2 linked regions of the Macaca fascicularis genome follow. The protein of the gene in region 2 purifies or fractionates together with the protein of the main gene of each other region. This does not show direct contact. Links are inferred from orthologs where the notes say so. Each region holds a gene or a part of one and is shown on either strand. Other genes may lie near its edges.

Region 1 (3,828 bases), on a different chromosome or scaffold from region 2:
AAGACAAATCTGGCTAATGGCCCACTTATAGCATTAAAAACAGAATTGTCACACACACCAAAAATAATTTTTTCTAGTTATTTCAACTGTACATTGGTCCTCATTAAAAGAGAATGAAAAGTACAGAGAAAATATTTTTTTAAAAATCTCATCAGGCTAGGCGAGGTGGCTCAAGTCTGTAATCCCAGGACTTTGGGAGGCCAAGCTGGGTAGATTTCTTGAGCCCAGGAGTTCAAGACCAGCCTGGACAACATGGCAAAACCCCATCTCTATAAAAAAACACAAAAATTAGTAAGGCATGGTGGCACGCACTTGTAGTCCCAGCTATATTACTTGAGAGGCTGAGGAGGGAGGATCACGTGAGCATGGGAGGCAGAAGTAGAAGTGAGCCCAGGTTAAGCCACTGCACTCCAGCCTGGGCGATAGGGCAAGACTCTGTCTCAAAAAAAAAAAAAAAAAAAGAGAGAGAAAAATACCTCATCAAATTACATCTAATAACTGAGGTTTAGGCCAAGATATTTGTCTTTAAGAATGAAAATGATTAAACCAAGAATGTGAAAATCCTAACAAAGTAGTATAATTAGTAATGTTAATTAGAAATGAATGTTGGCAAACTGAGATCTGAGGTGGCTCATACTCCATCAAGTGTTCCTCCGGTCTCAAAAAAAGGCTGTTTAAGTGCCTATATGGAGTGGAAAAGAGATTTTTTATTTTTATTTTTCTATATTGGCAGTTTTCCCATCAGTGATTGGTTTTATTACTGAACAGGAACAGCTTAATGCTGAAAATTTGCTGCTGAATGACTGGCAAAGACTATTAGACTGAAAATTTCAAGCACAAATGCACTGAGGAAAAAATGTTCTTCCCAGTAAGAGTCTATTCTCAAATAGAGATATATTCCCTATTAAAATCAGTCTTAAAATAGAAAATATTTTAAAAAATAGTGAAAGACCTTAAAAAGGAAAAAAAGAAATTACTAAAAAGTACATGATCAACATGATTTACAATTAGCTATCTTAAAAGCATGCTTTTTTAATTCTAAAAATCCTATTTACAAAGTATGCTTACATCGCATTTTAAAAGACATGTATCAAATGTAAACAAATCATTACAGCCATTTTATAAAAAGATTCATATTTTTTAAAACATTTTTTGTCATCATTAAAAATTAAAAGGCAATAAAGTGTCATTGTCGTGAAACAGTACGTGATCTTAAGGGAAGAAACATCTCACTAGAGTTTCCACAAGTTCCTTCTTCTTCTAACTGCAGGTCTGGCGGCAAAGGAGGAGCCCCTGGGTCCCCAGGTCTGGGAAGTGTAGTTGAAGAGAAGATGGTATTTTCAGTTCTGCCTACTTCTAGAACAGGCAAATTCAGAGAAGAATTAGTGGAAAAAAAGGGCGTCGTGCTGGATTCTCCTTCTGGATGGTACATGACAGTGGATGCCCTCAGTTTTTCAGAGAAATTACTCTCATTTGAATTTGATCTGGAGAGGTTGTTCGTGGCTCCATCTGGAAAAGGTTCACAGCTGCTACATTTTAGTCCTACAATAAAATTATTCATATGTAAATGAAAAAGTAACTAAAAAAAATGGAGTCACTGTCCATCTTGTGACTTGTTAAAGATTACAAGCTAGTTACCCCACAATCAAAATTTAAATAGCAATTTATAATTTCTGTCATAATCTATTTCAAATCTAATTTGCTTTTCTCAACAACCATGAAGTATACTATTATTTGCATTTTCTAGATAAGAAAATAGTCTCATGGAAGTTAAACGACATGTTATAATTCTTATTTAAGGTACAGTGTACATATAAACTTAACCATCTAAAATTTTTTATAAAATAAGAAATAGCTTTCACAATAAATATTCTTTAGTATTCTGGTACAAAAAATATTAGCCAATAAAAACAAAATGTAAACAGGGCAGATGCTAAAATTCTATCTGTTGATCAATGGCAATGGCTAGTTCTTGAATAATAGGATATTAGAACTAAAAGGAATTTCAGAGGTCACCTAGGATAGTCTCTTATTATTAAAAATGAGAAAAAAGGGCGGAGCATGGTGGCTCACAGTTGTAATCCCAGCACTTTGGGAGGCCGAGGTGGGCGGAACATGAGGTCAGGAGTTCGAGATCAGCCTGGCCAACACGGCGAAACCCCGTCTCTACTAAAAATACAAAAATTAGCCAGGCGTGTTGGCAGGTGCCTGTAATCCCAGCTACTCTGGAGCCTGAAACAGGAGAATCGCTTGAACCTGGGAGGTGGAGGTTGCAGTGAGCCTAGATCGTGCCATTGCACTCCAGCCTGGGCAACAAGAGCAAGACGGTCTTTAAAAAAAAAAAAAATAGAAAAAAAAAAAGGCACAGGACAGTTAAGTCATGTCCAACATTCCAGGACTACTTTGTGGGAAATTGAGAACTACAATTCAATAGATAATGTCCTGTTTCTCAACCTCATAGTTTACTCAAATGACAGTGGTTGTTCCCAACAGCTATGGTATGAATGTATCTGCCAAAATTTCACATGTTGGAAACTTGGTTGCCACTGCAGCAGTGTTAGGAGCTGAGGCCTTTGGGAGGCAACAGGGTCATGAGGGCTCTGCCCTGGACTAATGCCATTATCATGGGAATGGGTTACTTATTTTGGGAGTTCGACTCCTTTTTCTTCCCTTTCACACTCTTGCCCTCCCTCACTCTTCCATCTTCTGCCCTTCCACCATGGATGACCCTTGCCAGATGCTGGCACCATGGACTTGGACTTAACCAGCCTCCAGAACTGTAAGAAATGAATACATTTCTTTTCTTTATGAGTTACCCAGTCTCAGGTATTGCTACAGCAGAAAACAACTTAGATACCATCAAAGAATTTTATCACATCCAAGGGGTATAGTTAACCATTATCCACAGGATTGAAAGAATAAACACAAATACAATTTACCCTTCTGTTAGGCTTAGCAAATATTCAACTTACAGGCACAGAAACCCTGAGTTGACAATTTTTAGGTAAAACTTGCATAGTCTATAAAGGACACTTACATGTCACTTCTTCCACTAGTTTTTCAACCTTACAGTCAGCATGTCTATTCCATGCTATAGAAACTACTTTCTTAGATATGGCTCAAAAGGGAAAACTTGTAATGTGTCCCAGCAAGGGGACACTTACAGACTATGAGTTCCTTAAGGGCAGAACCCTAAATTATTCTTTTCTGTATCCCTAATGCCTAGAACAGCTGTAGAACGTCACATGCACATTTATGTGTTCTGGAGAGAGAGAGAGAGACAGCAAGGAACAGAGAAAGGAGGGGGTTGGGGATTTAAATTGTGTAGGCAATTCCACACAATATTCCAATCAATGAGTGTATATTCTGGAGTGAGAGTCAAATGGGACAGGTGAATTTGCTATTCTCTTAATGTTTCCATGCTTTCACATCCTGCCAGACTAGTTTCAAGTCACGAATATTTTATGCAACGTGATTCCTATAAACAAGTGCCGATTACTTCATCTTGTGATCGATCAACTGGTGATCACAAGAAAAACTAGCAGAGTTGGACTTTTAAAATACTTTGCCTAAATACTGTTCTTTATGTGCGATGTACAGTATTTTCAGAGGTTACTCTTGAATAATTTTATATTCTGCTGACTTTAGAAACAAATCCTTATGTATACAGGGATTTCATAATAGTTACGTTTTCCATAAATGGTATTAAATGAATATAAATGCAGTATATTGACAGATATTCCACTTTTTCAATGTAGTAAGGTCATATAAGGTAAAATAAATGCAAATTGAATATAATTTTGAAGTTTAAACTCTTTGAAAGCCAAA
Region 2 (3,828 bases):
TTTTTAGTGGAGATGGGGTTTTACCATGTTGCCACACTGGTCTTGAATTCCTGACCTCAAGCGATCCTCCTGCCTCAGCCTCCCAAAGTGCTGGGATTACAGGCATGAGCCACTGCACCCGACCACTTCAGCTAATTTTGAAAAGCACTAAATGTTTATCTTAATTTGGGCAGGACTAATCCAGCCATTTGTAGACTGGATATTTCAAATGAGTATAAACATACATATAATCAATTTACTTTTAATATATTGTGAAGTATAAATATTTCAAATGAGTATAAACATACATATAATCACTTTACTATTCATTTAGCATACAGAGAATGATCAGAGATATTGTAGTGAAAGGCAGGTTGATATAAGCAAGAGGAAGGCGATTACTAGTAATCTACCAAGGCTCAAGTGGACAAGGGTCAGGAGCCTCTCAGTCTACTGAGGTCAAGTAAGTCCATCTCTCCTCACAGCTCTTAGCTACTCTCTTCAAGTCTTCTAAGATTCTTGAAAACACACTAATGTTGGCTGGGCGTGGTAGCACTTCAAACTCCTGAGGTTAGGAGTTTGAGACCAGCCTGCACAACATGGTGAACCCCCGTCTCTACTAAGAATACAAAAATTAGCTGGGCATGCTAGCATATATCTGTAGTCCCAGCTACTAGCAAGGCTGAGGCGTGAGAATTGCTTGAACCCAACCGGCGGAGGTTGCAGTGAGCTGAGATCACACCACTGCACTCCAATCTGGGCAAGAGAGCCAGGCTTCATCTCAAAAAAAAAAAAAAAAAAAAAAGAGAGAAAAAAAAGGAATCAAAATAAGTTAAGATGCCACATTTATTAATCAATATTAACCCATTTCCCCATTTGGAAAAAAACAGTGCAGCTTGTCGCCAGTGCAGTATTCTCAGGGCAAATGGGAAACGAGCTGAATAATAGCAAAAGTTTTGATCATGAAAAAATGTAATTTTAGGCCACATGATTTAGATGAAAAAGGAGAATGTGAAAAAAGTATTTTGAAGCTGGTATTTTAGTTTGTACATTAAGTTTCTTACCCACATGATAAAAACCCACACTTGCAAGCTGATCCGGATTAATTAGAACGCTAGGCGGCCAGTTAAACAATCAAAAGGGTAACATATCACATTAAAATGCTGTGTGGCAATTAAAACACATGAGATGAGACTATACTTACCCTGATTTAGTATTGTAACCTGCCTGGCATTTCTAAACCCCTCTTTGTTCTTTTTATTGATTGTACTTATTTTCCAACATGCTCTATAACTTATTCAAGTTTTTATTAATTGTCTGTTCTCTCCTGCTATAATACAAACTTAGGCGACCAGGGGTCTTTGTTTTGTTCAACTGATTTTATGCACCCAGAACAATGCCTGGCAATAGGTGATCAATTGTTATTGAATACTGAATGAATGGAAATATATCCAAGACATATGTTGACTGAAAAAAACTTCAAAACTAAATAGAATATTTAATTTATGTAAAATTGTGTACATTTATTTCTATATGGATATTTATTTCTATATGTATATGTATTGTATACATTTATTTCTTTATGTCTGGAGCGATGTTCACTAAAATGGTAACCATGTTCATCCTCAGGTGGTAAGATTTCTGGACAGTTTAATTTTCTTTCTCTGTACTTTTCTACAATGTGTGACTTTGTTTTTATAATGAGCATGTATTATTTAAATATATATATTTCTTTAAAAATTAAACAAAAATCCCCAAATATATTTCTTCATTAAGTCCATCAAAACTTTTTAAGTATTTTGCTAAGTAATCCATCCTAAACTTATTCACAAATATATATTTGGAACGGAGTAAAGTAACAGCTGATTTAAGGTAAACACATATAAGCAATCTCATGATAATCACAAGAATTTGCAAAGAGAATTTCAAAACAATTACCTTGGAAACCACTTGGCATGTTCCACCCATGGATCATCTCCAGATTCCCAACACCTGAGTCCACCATCACAGCAAAAGCATTTGACATCATCACTGTTACCTAAAATTAATTTTGGACCAAAACATGAATACACACAATTTGCCCACTGAAATGTATAAAATGAAATGTATTTTTTTTAAATTAGCAGATTCAGTTTCTTACCCACATAATAAAAACCCGCACTTGCAAGCTGCTCAGGATTAACTAGAACACTAGAGGGCCAGTTAAAGAATGTTTTAAAGCGGGCTGCATGTGTCTGCATGCTCAGATTAGAAACTGTGTATCTCGAAGTGTCTTGAAGCTGATTTTCGATAAATGGGCATTTGGGAAAATGTCTCAGGTGTTCTGACATTGCATTATCCTTCGGTTCCCAGTTGCTCAATTTTCCGCCACAGGCAAAGCAAGCCACTCTGTCTCCAGGTCCAACGTAGTAAAAGCCTGCTTTTGCCAGATCTGTTGGCGACAGAAAAGTCAATGGCCACGTCTGAAAAGTAAGTAATCTGGCTTTTTCATTATTCATTGCACAGTGGTAGGAACTTCTCATCAAGGCAGAAAAATCTTGATTTGCTCTGGAGTTTACAGGATTTGATGGAAAGCTTGAATAAGAGCCACTGAAATATCCACTGTTTTCTGTACCCGGAAGTAATGAATGTGTGGAATTTGTTACTGAAGAAGGAAAAGCAGGCTGAGAGGTAGCTTCCGAGTTGTTAACTGAATTTAGACTCTGAACGAATCTGCAGCTAGGATACAACTTTTTATGCTTTTCAACAGGACTGTCTCCTCTTTTCCAGTTATCCAGCATCAGGCCGCAACAGAAGCATTTGACCTTGTCATTCACACCAGTGTAATAGAAACCAGCGCGAGCAAGACTCCTTTCTGAGACAGGAACCCCAGCAGGAAAAGCAGAATACGTAGACATTCGGTACAGTTCACATGACAAGTCGTATTTCAGTTCAAACGTGTTGGCACTTTTCATCAAATTTGATAAGAATATGCTATTTTCTACTATGTTCATGATGAAATGAATGGGGAAGAAAAGGGACTAGCCTTTCTCTGGGGAGGTAGTTTTGTGCATGGCTTTGCTTTTATTAGTTTTAATACTAGGTTGAAAAGCCAAAATGAAAAAATTTTTAATTATTTTTATTTCTATGCATTTAGAGTTTCAACATGGAAAGATTCTAAATCCTATACTGATACATTTTAAGGAAGAAATAAACAATTGCACCTTTGTATAATCTTTATACATACAATGTAAACATGATGCTACAGAGTAAGCTGTGCTGAAGATTAAAACCCTTCACAGAAGAGTAAAGTGTATTAGGCCATCAGGATGCCAGTTAATGGCAGGCATCTCCACAGGTAGGTCAACTTCTCCAGGCTACTAGAATGTTTCAGTGGCATTCAATCAATCTGAAGATGTAATGTGTGACTCATGAAGCTTCTTTACATGGTGGAAAGCTCTGCTCTCAAGTGTTTCACAGTAAAAATATTCAGAATATGTTTATTTTGCTTTTTGGAAATTGTGAAATTTAGTAGCCAGGAAAAAAAAGCATAACACCTACCTCAAAGGAGGAAAAGAATACATTACCATATTTCACTAAATTCTAAGATGGCTATTTTAAAACTTCTGTTATCAAGAAGTATTTTATAATTAATGGCATATCATATTTTAATTAGCAGCACTTTTATTTCTTAGAGGTACATACAATAATGGTATGATTTACAATTGAAGACATTTTGAATTCAATGAAATATGGTATATCCCAAATTTTTCTCCAATTAGTCATATTTTTCTTTCTACAATCCTTCTAATAAGGAGAACAAAACAATCTAAAATTTCTCTCCATATAAAGAGCTTTACTAATAACAGG

Evidence for each region.
Region 1: the proteins of BIRC3 (region 2) and BCL10 purify together in Homo sapiens (affinity purification with western blotting; 5 studies listed by BioGRID and IntAct, with this or other methods). This does not show direct contact. The link is inferred for Macaca fascicularis from reciprocal best matches to the Homo sapiens genes BIRC3 and BCL10.

Annotation. Positions count from the first base shown.
Region 1 is NC_088375.1:149,371,107-149,374,934, reverse strand, and holds part of BCL10 (B-cell lymphoma/leukemia 10), read right to left. Parts: intron 1,543-3,828; coding exon 1,187-1,542; 3' UTR 1-1,186. UniProt on the Homo sapiens protein: Plays a key role in both adaptive and innate immune signaling by bridging CARD domain-containing proteins to immune activation.
Region 2 is NC_088388.1:101,334,379-101,338,206, reverse strand, and holds part of BIRC3 (baculoviral IAP repeat-containing protein 3), read right to left. Parts: 5' UTR 2,973-3,828; coding exon 2,120-2,972; intron 2,018-2,119; coding exon 1,918-2,017; intron 1-1,917. UniProt on the Homo sapiens protein: Multi-functional protein which regulates not only caspases and apoptosis, but also modulates inflammatory signaling and immunity, mitogenic kinase signaling and cell proliferation, as well as cell invasion and metastasis.